Arabidopsis thaliana: one gene and its partner. The protein of the gene in region 2 interacts with the protein of the main gene of each other region in a pairwise test. Each region holds a gene or a part of one and is shown on either strand. Other genes may lie near its edges.

Region 1 (7,129 bases), on a different chromosome or scaffold from region 2:
GATAAAGAGCCTCTTACTTACTACTACTTGACGCTTGAAGCCATCTCCGTCGGGAAGAAAAAGATTCCTTACACCGGAAGCTCGTATAACCCAAACGACGACGGAATACTCTCGGAGACATCTGGAAACATCATCATCGACTCTGGAACGACACTGACCCTCCTCGAAGCTGGTTTCTTTGACAAATTTAGCTCGGCGGTGGAGGAATCAGTGACCGGAGCCAAGCGCGTGAGTGATCCACAAGGGCTTTTGTCTCACTGTTTCAAATCCGGAAGTGCAGAGATCGGTTTGCCGGAGATAACGGTGCATTTCACGGGTGCAGATGTGAGGCTGAGTCCGATCAACGCATTCGTGAAACTGAGTGAAGACATGGTTTGCTTGAGTATGGTTCCGACCACCGAGGTTGCCATCTATGGGAACTTTGCTCAGATGGATTTCCTAGTTGGGTATGACTTGGAGACGAGGACGGTGTCGTTTCAACACATGGATTGCTCTGCGAATTTGTGATTTGACGGCGTCGTATCGAGCTTATTTTATATTGTCCATGATAATCATTTGTTTGTTATGGAGATGTAAAATCAGAATCAAAGCTTAAAAATTATCCTTGCTAGTAAAAATAATTACCTTCTTTCTATATTGATCTTCTCATCGATATTATATGATTGGTTTCAACTAGTTCCGAAGTACACAACATGTATAATAAAACTTAAGAAAGCAAACAAGAAAGTATTATGATAGAGAAATTATTCAGATTCTTAGGAACAGTGTTTCTACAATGGATGGTCATATACATTTTAATCTCATGATCAGATCAATTGAGGCGTGTCACCAATCTACCAATTCAAAGTAAAAAAAAAAAAAAAAAAAGGTACCGACTATGAATGGCTCGAGAACTTTGTACTGTAAAACTGAAAAGGAACTCTGAAAAGAGAAGGCAGACAGACTTTGTGAACGTGAGATCAATCGGAGCTGGAGTCGTAGAAGTCGCTGGGGCAAGGAGTCATAACTTCGGATTCAAGTAACTGGACGACTCTGTGCATTGTTGGCCGCTCATCTGGACTTGACGACACACACTTTGTTGCTATTGATAGAAGTGCGTCGAGACTCTCTCTCTCCACTCCTTCACAGCTTAGATCAACAATCTCCTTTGCCCGGTTTTCGCTGATTAAGAAGTTTAGCTGCAAGATTATAAAAAACAAAATTTAAGCTTTTACTAGTCAATATTATTATCTAAGCTGGATCTCGTTATGCTTACCCAACCAACAATGTTAAAGCCTTTCTCGATGAATGAGGCATCCGTGGGAAGTTTACCACTCAAGACTTCAAGAACCAAAACCCCGAAGCTGTAAACATCGGTTTTCTCAGTCGCTCTACCGCTTTGCATATACTCTGCAAAAAACACTCATTATGAGTTCACGGATTTAGGTCCTAACAGATAGTAACAACAAGTAATAAGCATTGTTATTACTGTGTAATTGAGTACCTGGAGCCAAGTAACCGAATGTGCCTGCAACAATGGTTGTAATATGAGATTCTTCGTCCTCTAACAACTTGGCAAGCCCAAAGTCTGATACCCGAGCCTCCAGATTTCCATCCAGTAAGATGTTGCTTGATTTTATATCACGGTGTATAATCCTAGGAGAACAATCATGATGCAAGTATGCCAACCCTTTTGCCGCTCCTATTATGATATTAACTCGCGAATCCCAATCCAGCTGCTCGCCTCTCTCTACACATTCAAAAATTTCACTTAATAGAATCATAATTCTCCGTTAAGGAAACCCGTAAATATGAAGTTGAGGGTTTACTATGTAGAGCTTCATCAAGGCTACCACCAGGAAGGTAATCATATAGCAGAAGCTTTGATGTGGGTGAATTGCAGTATCCACGTAGATTCACAAGGTAACGATGTTTGATGCTCCCAAGAATCTCAAGCTCCCTTTCAAAAAACCGATCAAAACCTTCATTTAACTTAACAATTCTTTTCAGCGCAAAAACATTGCCATCGTCCATAGACAGCTTGTACACTGTGCCAAAGCCTCCACAGCCTATTATGTGCTCTTCATTAAGAGATTCCAGTTTCTTGATAATGTCTTTGGAAGCGTAGGGCAAATCTCCATGGAACATCACTATAGACGCACCTGGATAGAAAAAATCGTCTCTTATGGTGTCAAGTTTTGAGAGAAAAATATAACTCTTAGAGAGAATATCTACAATATGAGTCAGCATGGCTCACCTCCACCGACATCTATCACAAGGCTTTTACTCTCAACTCTACCAAGCTTTTTATAGAGAAAGCATCCCCAGAAACACATGAGCGCCACTAGGAGCAGCCCACCCACAGTAGCTGAAGCACTTATAAGCAGCCTTTTAGGGTTATTACCTCCTTGGCCTATAACACGGGAGAAACCAAAAAGCAAACTCATTTCACGCCAAATACTACAGATTTCTCAAAAATTAAGTTATAATCCATATATCCTGACAAGAAATTGATTAAAACACAGTTGCTTTACCTGTTGGAGACCCAGAAGCTGTAGAATTTCCACTGTCATTGCACACAATATCGATTTGTTTTCCACACAAGTTACGATTTCCGTTGAAGCTGCAAGAGTGATTCAACAGTTTACGACTTGGTTATTTTCAGCTACACTGCTGCAAAGCTAGTAACAGGGTGCTATCGTACACAACGTCACAAAAAAAATTATAACTGCTTTGCCAGATCAACCGTAGAAAGATTTATCAACCATAATTTACAAAAATTTGGTTGGGGAAATGGGTATATATAAATTATACTTACGAGTCCCTCGAGAGTCTAGCGAGTAGGCCGTCAGAAGGTATTTTTCCCACCAGGAAATTGTTTGAGACATTGCTTCAAAAGAAGATCAACATAGTTAGTAACATTGACACTCATATATCTACAGGACTGCAAAATAAAATACGCAAGTTAGAGATTAGCAACTCACAATTTAGTAAGCCTTTTCAACTGCCCAAGTGAAGCAGGGATAGCTCCATTGAGATTGTTGTTTGAGAGGTCCCTTCATAAATGAGAGTCAAAAATCATAGTAGTTCAGAAGAATGTAGATGATATGCCCATTTAATATGAAAGAAGCCTAGCATAGATTTACAATTCTCATCATCATATTTGAGAGTTTTTCACCCGGAAAAAATAACACAATACGTGATTAAATATAAGTTATGTCAAACTCCCTATAATTTTTAGGGTTCACCACGACTGTAGAAATAAGTACTTTCGAAAACATTATGTTGTTGCTGCATGGAAGATCAGAAGAACCTCTTGTAGTTCACAATATAATTATAGAGGATACTAAATGGTGAGAGTAGATAGCAGAACAACAAATAGCAGATCCTAGAGAGGCTAAGAAAACAAATCCACTTGGAAGAACGAGGAAAAAAACCACGTACAGGTTTTTCAGCCCGGACAGGTTTCCTATTTCACTTGGGATTGTCCCAGTGATGTAATTATTCTGCAAGTATCTGCAAGGAATAAAAGGACAATAAATTATAAAAGATTCACAACGATTCTTGTCAACTAGCTAAACTTGTGACTGAGTTTATCATCACTCACAAGACGCATCAATATTATGCACCAACTATATAGAAGCAAATAAAGAAAAACACTAGTAATTGTTAGGAAATAATATAAAATTTGGAAAAACAAAACGAGAATTCGATCAGCAATGAAGTGTAATCACACTAATCAGCATAAGTATTTGGGAAAGCCCTTACATTCCCTCTAATGCCGTGCAATTTCCCAATGAGGCAGGTATTGATTGATATAACGCATTGTTGTGAAGCATTCTGCAATGACATGGGAATACACATACAATGAGTAGTAGAGCATATGCTAGACATCAATAATATTAATTAAAAGGTTAGGAGCACATACAAAAGCCTTAACTGATCCAGCTTTCCAAGCTCAGGGGGTAAAGGTCCCCTTAATTTGTGATAAGTAAGACTCCTGCACACAAGAAACTTCAGGAACCGACAAAAGATGCACCACATACTGAAGAAAAAAAAAGAATTTAAACTAAAGAAATTTTAAACTTACAAGGCTATAACTCTTTTTGTTTTTGCATCACAGGTCACTCCTTTCCAGTTACATGGATCAGGATCCTCTGGTCTCCACAGACCAATAACACCATCAGAAGCCAAAACTCCATTTCTAAAACTCAAAAGCGCCTCACCTGGAGAAAAAAAGGATTTAATCCCTTCAGCAATCTGGGCGGAGTAAATGGTGATCATGACTTGTCAAAGACAAAATATAGAAGAGATTAAAGACACATATCGCTGTATACCATCAGGACTAATTGCTTCATTTTCATTCGTTAGTGCAGAGAGAAACGAGATCAAAAGAAACCATGAGCAGCAGCGCTTCATTAGACAGATGCCCATTATGGCACCGTTCAAGCATAATATAGCTACTGCCAATCATCTGAAAGAACAGCCTCCGGAATGCAACACTCGTAGCATATACTCAGCTGCTCCGTGACGCCCAGTCTATCTTCAAGAAACAAAAAGAGACTCCTGAAGTTAAATAAAATAATGTCATTAGACCGTACAACAATAACAGCTGACCCTCATTTGAAACTCTATCAAGCCTCGATCTTCCAATAATCAGACAACCAAATCCTCAATTACAAATCAAGCGTTCCACAACATCGATGCACAACATTTGCATGGTCTCATTAACAATTACAGCACCCAGAACAGTGAGATTATCTAATCGGATCAAATCCACCTCCCAAATTTGCAAAATCAGAAATCGAACCTTCAGAATAAAACCCCAACTCATTATTTAAAGAGGAGCTCGGATAGCTAAAATCGAACTTAAATCACGAAATTCGGAGGACATCATTGCAATCACAGCACAAGAAGAACTGAAGAGTCAACAAAACCATTCAATAATCTAAAAAAACGAAATCGATTCGCCGATAACTCAGACCAAAATCTCACTTCCCCCAAAAAAATGGCGAAAGAGAATGGGAATTTACACGAACCTCAAAATGGATCCGCGAGGAGGAAGATGAAGATGAAGAATAAGACAGAGGAAGAAGACGCAATTGAGCTGTAAAGCAATGTCTTAACTAACAACTTTTTTTTTTTTGTTGTTGTTGTGATTTATGAGAGAGTGAAGAGAGAGAAAGTAGAGTGTGCAGTGGAAATGTGAGATACTTTGGAGAAGGAATCGGCTAGTTACGAGTTTACGACCAATGAGAGAGGAGAAGTGGAGACCACACGTGCCGATCATGACTTATTACACGTGTCGACCGACGCATTGTATAATGCCAGAACTGGACAAGGGCTTGTTGGGTCAGTTAAAACATCGTTATTGCGTGGGCCTACTAAAGCCCATTGTTATTTATTTGGAAGCGTACTGTACTTTACTATCTTTAGGGACAATTCTTGTATTTTCAGCTTTAGCGGATCTTATTCACCTAAATCAAACAAACAAGTGTACTTAAAAATGGAACAAACAATGGACTGATAATCATTATTTCATTTGCTTTTATAATAGAAATCAAAATATTAATATTGGATTCAATCTTTCCACGTAACTTCTTGTTTTGGTAATTTCATCTATGATTCTTATAAATTTGGTACCATTGTAAAAATATGGCTTAAATTTGAGTTGTTGTTTCATGTGTTAGCAGTAGACAAGAAAAGATATCTGGAGATAGAGAGTTACATCACCTAAGACATGAGGATGGAGATGGAAAAGGTGTAAGGTGTGGTGTGGCTTAAATATTCTTGTACTAATTATCAATCAAAGTTTGTTTGAAATTTGAGTATTTGTATTCTGAATTTGAATTAGATATTTCAAATATATTAAAATCCAAAGCGAAATCAGATCCTAGCATAAATATTTAGGATATTAAAATAATAAATTTTAACTAGTTTTTAAATCATAAAATACACAATGTTTTTGAACTTCCATAATCAAACTAATAAATCCATTTTGGTTTACGTGTCTAGTTTTATAGAAAATGACTATTTATTTGTATTTTATAGAAGAAAAGATAATCCAATAAGTAAGTAATAATAACTCATGATTTTGTTGATTTTTTAAAATAAATATTTTTATAACTAAAAATGAGTTATTCATTTCAAAATATTACTTTATTTTCTTAGAAATTAATAGATTGTTAATGTAAATATATTTTGAAAATATTTACAGAACCAACAATAGGAAAATTCAGTACTGTTAATCATTTCCTAAAATAGTTTGAAAATGCCGATCTCTCCACGTGGAGAAAGCAAAAGAAAAACGCTCGTTTTAAGATTTGAAATAATCGCGCGTGTAAACATTTCCAATCAAAACGCGCGTGAAGGGTTTTTAACAAAAAAATTACACCACCGATTTAAACGTAGAAACCAAAATTCCCCCACTCTCTCTCTCTCATTACGCTCCACCCTACTCTTCTTTTTTGTCCTTCTCTCTCTCTCTCTTGCCGGCACTAACAACACGAAGAAATTTTTTTGAAAAGAGAGAGAAAGTTTCCAAGAGACCGTACGAAGAAAAAAAAAACTTGGTATAGATCGATAAGATCGATACCGTCGGAGAGATAATTTCGTGGAGTAATGTCGACGGAGGATGAGAAGTTATTGAAGGAGGCGAAAAAACTTCCTTGGGAGGATCGGCTTGGGCATAAGAATTGGAAAGTTAGGAACGAAGCTAACGTCGATTTAGCTTCTGTTTTTGATTCGATTACTGATCCTAAGGACCCTCGTCTTCGCGATTTTGGTGAGTTTCTCTACCTCGTTTTTTTATTATTATTATGTTAGGGTTTTTGTTTTTGAAGCTCAGATCTGATTAGGGTGGTTTATATCGGTGTGGATCTGTTTTGAATTTGGATTGTTGAGTGGGAATGTGATTGGTCTAGGGTTCCATTTTGCTTTACTTTTGATTGAATTTCTGATTATTATTTTTTATTCGCAGGTCACTTGTTTAGGAAGACGGTGGCAGATTCTAATGCGCCGGTGCAAGAGAAAGCGCTTGATGCATTGATTGCGTTTTTGCGAGCAGCCGATTCAGATGCTGGAAGGTATGGTGTTGTTTATTTTTATTGCTTTAGAAATGGGCAGAGTGGAGTGTTCGTTTGCATGTGAA
Region 2 (4,790 bases):
ATCATTGGGACATATCCTCCTTAACATATATATCAATCAACCATGGCTCTCGATATACAGATTTCGGTTTCTCATAAGTTGCTCATTTTTTTCTTATAATTACGTTAATCCTGATAGAGTAAGTTTTGATTATACAAAAAAAAAATGTGGATTTCGTTGTAAACTTGTAATTTTAGTTCAAATATGTGACGTGAACATTCTTACGCAATGCAACGTACCTATTCAAAGCTCAAAACTTTACTGCCGTAGAACGCTAGAAGCTACCTTTACCCCGAAATTGTTAATGGGTTTTAGTCGATTTTTAACTAAATTATTTAGGCTTCATCGAATATTTTCGACAAGTAGATCATACCTTCTCTCTTGATTCACCTAAGTGGAAAACCTTTGACTTTCCCCTTTTGCTTTCTCAGTTGACCAATTCGACAATTCCCGCCATATTACCATATAATGATTAATTAATTAGTTAATTGACATTAAATTAAGCCTCCTTTTGATATGCCTCAACTAACGTCCTTAACCAACAACGTTAACACGATCTTTATAGCCTTATAGTCAGAGGAGAATTCTCACAACAAACTCAAAAACTATACCAAATGATAGAGCATAAAATTAAAGAAACCCATATTTATAAAACAAAATATATATAAACTAAAAAGAGTGAATTACATTTTTATATATGGGTACAATACACACAAACGTTTCACTAAAATTACAACGGGATATATATTTATTTATATATATAGCCACTGCAAATCCACATTCGGATTGAGTGCATTAAAAACATATAATAACACATAGTAACAATTTTACACCCGAAAAATTGCATAAATTAAAGACTCACCCAAACATTAAAAAAAATATTACATATATAATGATATGATTATAGATATCTTGGAAAATTAAAAATACTTTCCCAAAATATAAAAAATGAAGGAAATAAAGAAGAAGAAAAAACCGTGAAGTTTTCTTTTGTTCGTCGTCTCAAACTTAGGGAGATGAATAATTTCATCGTTCATCAGGTACACGATCGGTCCATGAAACCCGGAAAACCCAGTTAGAGACTGTCTTCTTCCTCAAACTCTTGAGCCTTTCATGGCTGCTTCTTGATATCATTCGTCCACAGTCTGTGGATTCTACGAAAGTTTTGAGCCTCTTCAAGGCCAAATCGAGTGTGTCCTCGCTCATATTAGCGAAACAAACCCTAAACCAACCCGGTTCGGTGCAGTGACATGAAGAACCGGGTGATATGTTTAGTTTCACGTTGTAAACAATCTTTTTCCAGAGGTCAAGCTCTGCTTCAAATGTGTTTGTGTCCAAAAGGTGTCTCATGTCGACCCAACAGAACAAACCCGCGTTGCTTCTCAGGCAAGTAATCCCTGCAGACTCAAGACCAGACACGAGGCGTCTCTGTCTGGACTTGAGTCGTTTCTGGTTCTCTTCGAGGTATTGGCTAGTGAACTTCTTGTCGGAGAGCAATGCAGAGAGAAGGTATTGTGTCTGAGAAGAAACAAGACCAAAACTTGACATTTTTGTAGCTGCTGAAACGATCATTTCGTCGTTGGAGTAGATCGCTCCCACACGGAAACCAGGAAGTCCCAGATCTTTAGAAAGGCTATAAACGACGTGGACTCGTTTTGAAACCTCCGTGTCTTCGAGTTTCTTGTCTTTCAAGACATCCATTACGCTTATGAACTGTTCAAACCCGAACATAGTGCCTGAATAGATCTCGTCGCTAATGAGATGAATGTTCTTGGAAGTGATGAAGTCAACGAGAAGGTTAAGTTCACGTCTGGTCAACGCAGTGCCAAGTGGGTTAGATGGATTCGTGACAAGAACTCCTTTGACTTTGAGATCAAGTTTCTGGGCTTGTTGGTAAGCTTGTTGCAGAGCTGATTCCGTGATTTGGAAGCCATTAGAGCTTGAGCAGTGAATGGGTACTATCTCTGCTCCGGTTCTCCATTTAAGATCTCTATCAAATCTGTAATCATAAAAAAGCCTAGACGTAAGCATATATTTCTATTGGGTTTACTTGGAATCCAAGTAAAGAGGAGAAGTGTAATTTACCCAGGATAGTAAGGAGTAGGCAAAAGGAAAGCATCGCCAGGCTCTGCAAGGCAAAACATGAGAGTCTCATTCGCAGATGTCGAACCAGCCGCTAAAACAATCTTTTTTGGATCGAACGTGACACGGTTTCCTCTTATCTCTTCCATAAACTCAGCCATAGCCTGTAAAAAATGACAGAAAATGTTCATGAGAAATGGATTCATTACTTGTGATACACGTCAGGTTACTCTCTTTATTGAATTTGAGAAAAATGAAAGAAGCTTACTTTTTTGAATTCAGGCATGCCATGATAGTCTTGAAATAGAGCAAGCTCTCTGAAAATGGATTGACCGTTCCTCTTGAGACTTGCCGCGTCTGGGTTCTTAGTTAACCATGACTCGATTAGATCGAAACATAGCTGGTTTTCGGCTAGACCCATCTGGATCATCCCATTAGGGTTCTTGATCTCATCATAAGGATTCTTCTCGTACTCTTCCCATCCCAAGAAGTAGGATGAGTCTTGTCCATGACCATTGCTTGTCACTTTTGTCGAAAGCTGTTTCATTCTCTGTTTTTAAAGTCAAGAGATTTTGGTCGTAGAGAAGACTAATGTGGGTGAAGGAGAGAACGAAAAGAAGAGATCTTGAATTAGGGTTTAAGTTGGTGAAGAGTGAGATGTGGTTGGAGAAGCAATGGGTCTGTTGGGATATATATATATATAGATAATAATAATCTAACGACATTTAATTTCAAAAATAAAATGTGACAACAGAATCAGAAACTAGAGAGACTTTTTTGACCGTCCAGACATTACCATAGTTTTTAGTAAATATTCTCCAAGACATGTGAGACAACTTCTTTTATTATTTAATGCGATCTCCAATAATTAACAAGCTATATTATTTAATACAAAATAAACAATTAAAACATTGCAGTAGTTCTTGTTTCTTTTTGAAAATAAGAATGATCTATTATTGAGTTTCTATTTATTATTGCATTCACACATACAGCAATAAATCTTAGGATTATGTTTAAATAAAAATAAAAAAACCAGCTCTACATAGGGACAAAATTAAATAACACATTTTGAGCTTCTTTCCAAAATTTATTTGATCGTTTTCTAGGATTCAAGCATATTTAATAATAATTCTACAAATTAATAGTACTAAAATGATTAGTCTTTACGCGTTTCCGTCACCGCCGGACCGTCCTTATTATGACCATCATTTAGGGACCAAACATAGCAATTTAAAAAGAAACCTCAAATGTAATTAACTTTTTGTTGTTGTTGTATAAACTGAATCACTATGCTTATGATTAGTTTAGTCGTCCATTCACGATGTCAGCTACAAAATTGGCTGTGTGAAGTTGGATAGAAAAAAGAACCAACATTAATTTATATTCTACTTCTTGTCCAATACTAATGCCAAATAATTACTATTTATAGACTGCTAAAATTTTATATGTCGTATAATGTGAGTATTTTGCTGAAAAAAACTGTGAGCATTTTATGTAACTTTAGTTATCAGATTCTGTAATTAAGTGTCAACACGTTGACTTAGAAAATATTAACAAAATAAAATAGGGTGGTAAACGTAAAATTGGAAAACAAGGAAATGACATACAAGAAAAATGAACAGAGACAAGTGGAGCTAGGGGAGTCAAATGTAATGTCATACCGACATCAAATCGTCTAAAGTAATCCTGTATACCTATGCATCTACGTATGTATACATTTATACGGCTAAAATACATTTATTTATACGGTAGAGGGTAAGTCAAATAGGACCATTTATGCTCCCTAAACTCTAGTAGTCCCAAATGTCTTGGTCCGCAATTTTTTTTCGTTTTCTCTTCCTCTATCATTGACAACAACTTATTTATTTGGTGGGATCGGATACATACAAATATGTTTTTTACTGACTAGGATGTTTTCAGTCTTGTAATTATCGACAGGTTAACCGGAGTTGTAATTAGTTTTTTTTTTTTTTTGGTTAAAGGGTTTTGGAGTTAGTTTCATGTGAATTATGCGGTATTCACTGACGTAGACTGATCTCCAATACCAATAGAATAAATGATGATAGTTTAGCATAATTGTGTTGGTCCGCAGTTTATGTAAAAATAAATGTTGAGTCAGATATTGTTGCAGATATATTGATATAGTTACTTTGATCATGGGTGAAATAATGAGTTTGGATGGTTATCATAATAAAAACATAAACACAAATTTTTTGTAGAATACAATTTTCCTACTAGTTGAATTGAGCTTTAGTTGTATATATCTTCATCCTGTTTTTTTTTTTAAAATGTATACAAATCAAAGAAATAAACATATTGTTTATTATATAAACTCGAAACTTTATTTAAAATAAGCTACTAGTAGAATGCACAAATATTTCTTGAAACATGAGATTTTCAAAATAAAAATCATAAAAATGATGTGCAATGAGTGATTCAGTTTTGGACCTAGAATGATTAGTATAAGAGCATAATATTTAATCAATCAAATTGAGTTATATTAACATAAAAATCAGGTGGACGATATCAAAACCCATGTTGGTGGCCGTTGGTTATAACTTATACCCCCAGATTTGTAGGCGACGTTGTTCGTTTAAGTTTGACTCCAACTATTAACTAACTTAACTGGAATATTCTTTGGTAGATGTAACATATTATTGTCTCTTAACTAACCAAAAAAAAACATTAATGTTTGTTATAGGATTTTTTCTGACGTCAGGAAATCGTTA

What was found.
Region 1: the proteins of ACS5 (region 2) and FEI2 interact in a two-hybrid assay, tested with the Arabidopsis thaliana proteins (one study listed by BioGRID).

The regions. Positions count from the first base shown.
Region 1 is NC_003071.7:14,960,228-14,967,356, forward strand, and holds FEI2 (Leucine-rich repeat protein kinase family protein), read right to left. Parts: upstream 5,212-7,129; 5' UTR 5,019-5,211; exon of another isoform or gene 4,790-5,018; intron 4,546-4,789; 5' UTR 4,414-4,545; coding exon 4,317-4,413; intron 4,206-4,316; coding exon 4,070-4,205; intron 3,980-4,069; coding exon 3,908-3,979; intron 3,820-3,907; coding exon 3,748-3,819; intron 3,496-3,747; coding exon 3,424-3,495; intron 3,036-3,423; coding exon 2,964-3,035; intron 2,870-2,963; coding exon 2,798-2,869; intron 2,603-2,797; coding exon 2,514-2,602; intron 2,393-2,513; coding exon 2,237-2,392; intron 2,142-2,236; coding exon 1,809-2,141; intron 1,730-1,808; coding exon 1,484-1,729; intron 1,390-1,483; coding exon 1,256-1,389; intron 1,179-1,255; coding exon 960-1,178; 3' UTR 624-959; downstream 1-623. Other genes in the region: AT2G35615 (Eukaryotic aspartyl protease family protein), read left to right, coding at 1-507; MOR1 (ARM repeat superfamily protein), read left to right, coding at 6,601-6,763, 6,959-7,064. UniProt on the Arabidopsis thaliana protein: Involved in the signaling pathway that regulates cell wall function, including cellulose biosynthesis, likely via an 1-aminocyclopropane-1-carboxylic acid (ACC)-mediated signal (a precursor of ethylene).
Region 2 is NC_003076.8:26,330,091-26,334,880, forward strand, and holds ACS5 (ACC synthase 5), read right to left. Parts: upstream 2,723-4,790; 5' UTR 2,609-2,722; coding exon 2,330-2,608; intron 2,226-2,329; coding exon 2,065-2,225; intron 1,979-2,064; coding exon 1,006-1,978; 3' UTR 656-1,005; downstream 1-655. UniProt on the Arabidopsis thaliana protein: 1-aminocyclopropane-1-carboxylate synthase (ACS) enzymes catalyze the conversion of S-adenosyl-L-methionine (SAM) into 1-aminocyclopropane-1-carboxylate (ACC), a direct precursor of ethylene.